Cricetulus griseus: one gene and its partner. The protein of the gene in region 2 binds, or shares a complex with, the protein of the main gene of each other region. Links are inferred from orthologs where the notes say so. Each region holds a gene or a part of one and is shown on either strand. Other genes may lie near its edges.

What was found. Proteins that work in one complex are often made in the same cells at the same time.
Region 1: Ubl4a (region 2) and Get4 share a complex: the UniProt entries of both Homo sapiens proteins name them as parts of the BAG6/BAT3 complex. The link is inferred for Cricetulus griseus from reciprocal best matches to the Homo sapiens genes UBL4A and GET4.

What each region holds. Positions count from the first base shown.
Region 1 is NC_048597.1:75,910,258-75,914,391, reverse strand, and holds the start of Get4 (Golgi to ER traffic protein 4 homolog), read right to left. Parts: upstream 2,804-4,134; 5' UTR 2,728-2,803; coding exon 2,570-2,727; intron 1-2,569. UniProt on the Homo sapiens protein: As part of a cytosolic protein quality control complex, the BAG6/BAT3 complex, maintains misfolded and hydrophobic patches-containing proteins in a soluble state and participates in their proper delivery to the endoplasmic reticulum or alternatively can promote their sorting to the proteasome where they undergo degradation.
Region 2 is NC_048604.1:1,347,604-1,351,687, reverse strand, and holds the start of Ubl4a (ubiquitin-like protein 4A), read right to left. Parts: upstream 2,804-4,084; 5' UTR 2,690-2,803; coding exon 2,642-2,689; intron 2,482-2,641; coding exon 2,376-2,481; intron 2,126-2,375; coding exon 1,917-2,125; intron 1,801-1,916; coding exon 1,726-1,800; coding exon of another isoform or gene 1,690-1,725; exon of another isoform or gene 1,054-1,689; coding exon 937-1,053; 3' UTR 1-936. Other genes in the region: Slc10a3 (P3 protein), read right to left, coding at 3,650-4,084. UniProt on the Homo sapiens protein: As part of a cytosolic protein quality control complex, the BAG6/BAT3 complex, maintains misfolded and hydrophobic patches-containing proteins in a soluble state and participates in their proper delivery to the endoplasmic reticulum or alternatively can promote their sorting to the proteasome where they undergo degradation.

The sequences.
Region 1 (4,134 bases), on a different chromosome or scaffold from region 2:
AGTAGCCAGTGCTCTAAGTCACTGAGCCATCTCGACAGCTCTGTGGCACACACTTTTAATCCCGGCACCTGGGAAGCAGAGGTAGGCGGATCTGAGTTCTGAGTTCGAGGTAACCCTGGTCTTCAGAGGGAGTTCCTGGACAACCAGAGCTATACACAGAAAGCCTGTTTTGAAAAAACAAAACCGAAACCAAACAACAACAACAACAAAAAAGGTAAGACAACAGGGTATACCCCAATGTGGTAGAAGTATATAGACAGTGATTGCCCTGCTACATAGAGGAACCCACCATGTAATCCAAAGCTGTGTCTGCTCCTTTGTTTGTTCAGTCAAGAACTGCTTGGGCCAGTTGGCTGGTCCTGTCCAGTGAGACAGCTCAACTCAGGAAAAACTAACCATTCAGCTGGACTGATGACATAGGCCTGTCTTCCCAGATACTTAGGATGCTAAGCAAGGAAGATCAAGAATTCTAGGCCTTAGCCGGGCGTTGGTGGTGCATGCCTTTAATCCCAGCACTCGGAGAGGCAGAGGCAGGCAGATCTATGTGAGTTCGAGGCCAGCCTGGTCTCCAGAGGAGTTCCAGGACAGCCTCCAAAGCCACAGAGAAACCCTGCCTGGAAAAACCAAAAAAAAAAAAAAAGAATTCTAGGCCTGCCTGGGCTACAGAGTGAGTTGAAGGTACATCACCTCAAAAGTCTAAGTTAAAGAAAGGACTGTAGTGTTATCTCAAAGGTAGAGCCCTTGCCTAGTATGTGAGATGTCCTAGGTTCCTTACCCAGTAGCACAAAAATAATAAAAAAAATAAAATAAAAATAAAAACTAAAACCAGTTACTATATCAGTCATTAGGTAAACACTTCTACATATAAAACTTACCAGATTCGCCTGACTCTGCCTCCTGAGTACTGTGATTAAAGGCATGTGTACCATCCCTGGCTACAGACTTTTGACTAAAGGAAAATGCAAGTGACTTCCCAGTATAATTACAGAGTTTTCAAAAAAGAAAAGAAAAGGTACTCAGGACACTGTGATGAAAACAGATGTAGCTAGACTGGTTTGTATTTATAGCGTCTGGTTTAGTACAAGACTGCCCTTTAGGTAACCTGCAATTAGAAGTGAGGACTAAAGTCTTCCTTAAACTGATAGTTACTAGCGACCCCCCCCCCCCCCCCCCCCCCGCTCCTAATCCAGGCCACCCAGTAGGTAAAGCAAATGGGAAGTCTTTGAAACCAAGGATGCCAGGGCTCACCCCATACCTGCCCAAGACCCTGGACAGAGCAGTGCTTTTTTTTTTTTTTTTTTTTTGGTTTTTCGAGACAGGGTTTCTCTGTGTAGCTTTGGAGCCTGTCCTGGCACTCGCTCTGAAGACCAGGCTGGCCTCGAACTCACAGAGATCTGCCTGCCTCTGCCTCCCAAGTACTGGGATTAAAGGCTGGCCCTGGAGCAGTGTTATGGAGGGAAATACTGCAGGGCTGGTCCCTGATGGCTTGGTAACTCCCACATGTGGCCTCAATCACATGTCCTTTCCTACTATGTCCTCCTGGCTATCTGCCAGGCTCACTCTGGGCACGTGGGGAGGAAGTGGGAATTGTCCTCCAATGTAAACAATTATGAGCACTAATGTGAGTCTTCAGCCCTGCACCGGGCTTCAAGGCAGTGAGGCCACTGTGTAGTGTCAACCCACTGTCATGGCAGCTTCACTCAGCCCATAGAACAAACGCACCATGCCAGGATCAAGCTGGAGGGGGTGATTGTGGGAGGAATTCCACAGTGCACAGCGACAGTGATGGGTGGCTGAAAATGTGCAACTGGTAATGTACCTCTATGCAGACACAATATAAACACTTTCCACTCGTTTTACTATAGACCTAAAACAAAGCAGCTTAAAACAAAGAGTAGATATGAGGTGCTCGGAGGCTAAACCCACACGACGGACATGGAGCAGGAATGCTGCTATCTTGCAGTCAGGAATGAGGTCTAAGTGGGGATTATCAGCAGGCAGACGCACACAGACAGGAACCTGGAATCAATCCTGCAGATGGCCACGGGAGCCCACCGTGTCTGCATCTAACCACACTTAAGTCGGTTGTGCCACTTCAGTCACTGGTCACAGAAAGGAGGACCGGGAGAAACTACCCTGAAACAGGGCCTGACTGCCAGCGGGAGGCTCCAGAGAAAGGGAGGCCAGGAAAGGAAGAGGGTGGGCTACAAGGAAGGAATGGCGGGAAGAGAGGCCTATAAGGAGTGAGGAGGCCTAAGAGAGTAGAGAGGCCCAGGGAAGGGGAAGCCAGAGAAGTTGGCTGGGGAAGGACGCCAGGGAAAGGGAAAGAGGGACAGGGAAAGGACAACGAGATGAGGAAAGCAGAGACCCAGAAAGGGGAGGCCGAGAGAGGAGGAGGGGTAACGCAGGCAGGGAAGAGGAGGCCCTGCCGAGTAGTCCAAGCCCGCCGCCCCCGCTCCGACCCGCGACAGGCAGCCGCGCGAGCCACTGAGGATGCGGGGCACCGCAGCACAGCCAATGAGCAGCAGCGGAGGCGGGGCCCCGGCGCCAAGCCACCGCCCGCGCCCACCTGAAGAAGAGGGTCCGGTACATCTGGTGCGCCTCGTAGTAGTCGCCCTTCTCGACGCTGGCACGCAGCTTGCCCTCCACGCGCTGGACGCCACCGCGGTTGCGGGCGCCGTTGCGGGCGCCCTCCTGCTCTGCCATCGCCGCCGCCGCCGCCGCCATGGGCCGGCGCTCCGCGCAGAGCTGACGCTGTCGCAGGCGCGGTCGGCGGCACCTCCCGGCTTCCGTCCCTGCGGCCACCGCACGCCCTCTACGGTGGCCGCGAGGAGCCTCGCGAGGGCGGGCGCTCCACAGATGACACGTGACCAAAGGCGGAGCCGCGGAGTGTGGCGGAATCCGCCAGAGCCGCGCGAGGCCACGCCCCCGGCAGGTCTGCAAAGGACCCTCCGAGCATGGGCGGGGAATAAGCGGACGGGGTGGGGTCCGCGAGCTACCACGCATCCGGGAAGGAACGTGCTAGTAGTCACGCGAGAGTGGGTGGGACCAAGGTCTTGGGCGGGGATACACCCCAGTCATTGTGGTGGTGGTGGTGGTGGTGGTGGTGGTGTTACCGCCTGCAAAGGCTGCGCAAGTAAACTGGGCCAGAGGCCGCTGCCACTAGGTGGCTGCTATTGCCCTGACCACGTGAACACATTTTAGAACGCTTGACCTGTCTTACGCCTACCTGTCCAGGAGTGCTCTCCTCCAGGCGGCAGTTATCCTGAGTGACATCGGACTGGGCAGTACGTTCAGGCTAGAACACGAGATAGAGCCTGGCGTTGGTGGCGGTGGTGCACGCCATTAATCCGAGCACTCCTGGGATTAAGGAGACAGAGGCAGGCGGATCTCTGTAAATTCGAGGCCAGCCTGATCTACAGAGCGAGTTCCAGGGCAGGCTCCAAAGCAATACAGAGAAATCCTGTCTGGATGGGGGTAAGGGGAAGGAAGAAAGAAAAAGAAAAAAGAAAGAACATGTGATAGTGTAGAGAAAAGGGTCCTGTCAAAGAAACACCCAGAGCAGAGCCAAAGAAACACACTTTGGCCCTGCAACCAGAACCAAAGAAATGTACCCTGACTCTGCAACCAGTGCCAAAGAAACATACTTTGTCCCTGGAATCAGAGCCAAATCTGACCCTAAACCTGTGCAGAAAACTAAACAATCCCTGAGCATGAGATCTAACCATCCTAACTAAACTCAGGGATTGAAATCTGACCAATCCCTACCCTGGAAAAACTCCACCCCTGTGAAGCCTTATATAAACCCTGTGCCTGTTCAGCTTCTGGCTGTTCAGGGTGGCAGAGGACAGCCACTATCCTGGATTCTTCTCTCCCAATAAATCTCCTGAATGAGGTTTGGGTGAGACCTTCTTTCGGCAGAGCAGAGCAGGGCTGTAATATTTTTTGCTGGGGGGAACCTTCCCCTGGCTAAGGAGAGTTGTTACACTCGGTTCTCATCCTGGGGACCAGAGCCAACTTTGCTGGGGAAACCTTCTCCTGCGAGCAGAGCTAATACACTGGGTTCTCAGATGGGTTCTCCTGGAACCTGTGCTCCTCATAGTGGTCTGAGCCACACTGGGACCCTATCCCTCA
Region 2 (4,084 bases):
CAGCCACCCTTTGATCCTTGGAAGTAGTGGTGAGGATGAAGCAGATGCTGGAGAATTCAGAGGGAGGCAGGAAAAAAGCTGGATGTTTGGTGAAATTGTTCATCAACTGCCAGTACTCCTGGGCTTTTTCACTTTTGTAAGCCAGTAAGTTTCCTGTGTTGTTAAACCAATTATTTGAAACCAAAAGCAGACTAGTTTATTAATAGAGTTCGTCTTGGTAAAAAGTCTCACATGCACCTTAAGTGTTATTTAATTTTCCAAATACATTCCCTGACTCAAAGTGAACAAGGACATTGGTAAGCTTATTATCTGAGCTGCCAGTCCACATATGTGCTCACAAGCAGGTCCCTGATGTGGTACCCCAGGTCTCAGGGAGGAGCAGGGTCTACCAGCTGCTCATCCCCTCAGGCCTCACTTTAGTTTATCATTCCATTATGGGGAGTCAAGATTTGTCCCACAAGGCCCAAAGCCCATGCAGGAGGCCGTTGGGCAAGAAAGGCCAGTGTAGTCCCAACAACATTCAGAGTTGCTTCCTTGGCAAGAGTGGAGGGGCAGGAGTAATGTCCTGCAGGTGGCTATCTTCCAGCCTCAACTGCTCCCAGGGGGTCCTCCTCAAAGGAGCTAGTACTTACATGACCTTTAGCACCCAGGCATAGGTTCAGTGAAAAGAAGAACCACTGTCTTCAGCTTACATTTCTATCTCCTCCTCAGCACCCTGAGTTTCTTCTTAAGCAATGAAGGTGTGCAAACTGAAAGTCCCTGTACACAGGTGGCAGAGGAAGCATCCGTCTCATGCTGTGGGAGAACGCTGGGTGAGGAGACCCAGGAAGAATCCTAGTTGTGACACTGCTTTGTGGAGTCACCTGCTGTCCCTCATGGATGAGACCGACTTCCAGGAGGAGCCAAGCAGATAGGGTCCCCCCAAGAAGAGCTATGTCACAAAGGCCCAGGATATTCCATCTGTGGCCCATGCTTGGCTACCACTTCACTTTTGGCTTCAGTTTGCTTACTGAACACAAGATGGCACTGCAGTTGGTGATAGCAGACTCCCACCTTGAGCCGGGAAAGAGGGAAGGAAACTTATTCAGGTCAGAGGAGTGGTCACCACTAACAGACTCAATGGTAGGGGACCTAAGTGGCACAGAAACTTGACTTAAGCCATACAACGGAGCTAGGGTATCTTTCTGATCCTCCAGCCCCTGACTTTGTCATTCATCAAGAGCACACTGGCTGCAGCAGCAGAGGGACTCTGGATGGCTACCACTTGGCTTCCTATGGAGATTTGCCAAGGGTATGCCAGACATACTAGAGGACAGGTGACAGGGACTAGTGGCTTCCTGAGGGAGTCACTTGAGTGTGTATGTTGAGTGGGCTAAATGGGAATGTTAAGGCCCATCCCTCAAAACAACACACTCTTTCTCCTACAGAGGCACTTCTACAGCTGGCTAGACTTGGATTCTGGCTGTCCCAAGCCATTGCTAGGTGTTTCTACAGTGCAGCCTCAACTGTCCTGTGGAAGGCAGAAGAGAATTCAGGCCAAGTACTTTGAGTAGTGCTTAGCACCTAGCAAGAACTGGGTACATACCAGCTATTATTATCACTATGAGCCAAACTGCGACATGAGAACACATTTAATGCAACATGCAGCTGTGGCCTGACCTGGGATTTCTCCCCCCACTCCCAGAAATGCTATTTGGAGAACCCTTTTTCCATAGACTCAGTTACTTCAGGGTGTAGAAAGCGGCTGGCCAAACGTTCAATGTCATCCAGTGTTAGGCGGCTCAGAGATCTGTCATAATCCTGAGAAGAGAAGACCAGGTGGGTTCAGGGGGTGCAAGCAGGAAGGGGTATGCTGTAATAGGTGGGGGCTGGGGCTAGAAACATTAAGATTGGAGGTCCAGAATTATTCTGCTCACCCTCTGTAGTTGTTCCAGGACCCTGCTGGTATCTGCTACACTGAAGTGACGGGCCAGGACTTTGGAGATCAGCTGCCAGAGGGGTGGGGGTGGGGAGTCGACCAGTCTGTGGGCAGACCCTTCTTCCAGCAGCACCTTCTCCAAAGGTTTAACGACTAGGTTGAGTTTAGAATTGGGCCCAATGTTGTAATCTGACAGTCGTTTCTCATCTGCCAAAGAGAGATTGGTGGGGTTCCTTCCTCATTGTTGTGGGGGTGGCCAGAGAGCAATCCTGCCATGGACAGCTAGAGTGAAACACTGCAGCATCTGGCTATGGGGTGGTGGCGTCTCAGCTACTTTTCCAAGGTTTAGTGGCAGCCACTGCTCTAATCCATTACACTGGCCTGTACATCCCGTCCCCCAACTTCCAACTTCCTACTTCCTGTGGGGGGTCCCTGGATGGCTCCTTTCCCTGGTTACCTGTTAGGGCCTTGCCCTTGAACAGCAGACGTTGCTGGCGCACAGGGACGTTCAGCTTATCCGAGACCAGATGCTTCAGTGTAGACACTAGCTCGTCCTCCGGCACCTGATCCGGCCGAGGTGGAGAGGCAAGGGCTTAGTCCGAATTCCCTGGGCGATGCAGCCCTAGTGCCCCCTCCTGAGGTTAGCTCTCCTGGCCTCCCCCGCCCGCCATTGGCCCCAGCGGCAGGAGTGTGTGAGTGTAGCAGCCTGCAGGGTAACCTTACCTGTAGGCTGCACTCCCGGCCCTGGAGCGCCTTCACGGTCAGCTGCATGATGCCCACAGCCGCGTCCACTAGGACCAATGTAAACCCCAATGGTCCCCTGCCGCGCGCCGCTGCCCCGGGCGCGCGCCGGAACCGCCCGCCGCCGCCGGAAGCCGTGAAAGGGGCGAGCCCGCCGCGTGGCTCCCGCCCGGTCCCGCCTCCAGGCCTTTGCGCCTGCCTGAGCCTGGGGTAGCGTCCACCGCCCTGGGCCCACAAGCCTCCAGCGGCTTTGGTGCAGGGAAGTGGGGCCATTCCGCCCACTGGGATAGGAGCGAGGAATCTGTAGGGTCAGGCTTGCTTCACCGGGGAGCTGTGGCTTGAAAGGAAGGACCAGAATGTCAGCCTCATGCAAGGCCTGACCTGTTAATTCCTACCCTGCTGGTGGACCACATCAGGGCAAACATGTAGTAGTGTCTCTCAGATACAGAAATGGTCCAGTCCTACCTGCCATAGCCCAATGGCTTTCTACTTCTTCCTTTCTAGTCTGGTTGCAAAAATATCCTGGCCGAGGCTCCAAAGTAGTGGACCTAGGCCTCTATCTCTTCACTCATTATAGAACAGAGTCCTGCCCTGTTCTGATAGAGAAAAGCCTTTGCAGATCTGGAGATATAGCTCAAAGGTACAACACTTGTCTACCATGTGCAAAGCACAGAGGAAGGAGAGAGTGGGCTCTGTGCACGGTCACCAAGCCTGTTCACCATCCTGGTCCATATCAACCCAGACACACTCTTCCTATCCCCATCCATACACTCCAAGGGACAAAGACTGGAAGGGACCCAAGCTTGCTTTTGTCTTTTATTGAAATATATTTCTAACTCAGCATGGCCTCTTTGGCACTGAAAGCTGGAAAAAAAAAGCCTGGATTTGTCTGAGTGCATAGTGCATGAGAACAAAAGGCCTTTGGTACAGAACTGTGGGGACAGTGGATGGAGTATGGGGGCTGGGGTTATAAAACTTGATCCAGGGTCCTCATGGAACAGGAAACAAGTTGCTGTAGATGAACTGGCCAATAACCAAAGCCAGCATCTCGGAGGTACCACTCAGTGCCACAATGAAGGGGGCCTGAGAGGCATAGTCTGCTTGAAGGCGACGCAGAGACAGCTGCAGCATAGCTAAAGCTAGCAAGCTGTTTTGTACCCCTACCTCAATGCTGACTGTCCGCCGCTGGGCCACTGGCAGCTTCAGGCACATGGCTAGGCTGTAGCCCACCAAAAGGCCAACCAGGGGCACTGTGAAGCCCACCAGTACGATGGGTAACCTGACTCCCACTAAGATGAAGACCCCCATGTGGTAGGCCAGGAATAGGCCACCCAGGAGAAGTACAAAACTGAAGGGCTTGATGACCTGTAGCAGCAGCTCTGAGAACTTAGGGAGCTTAGACTTGATTACCACACCTGCTGCTAT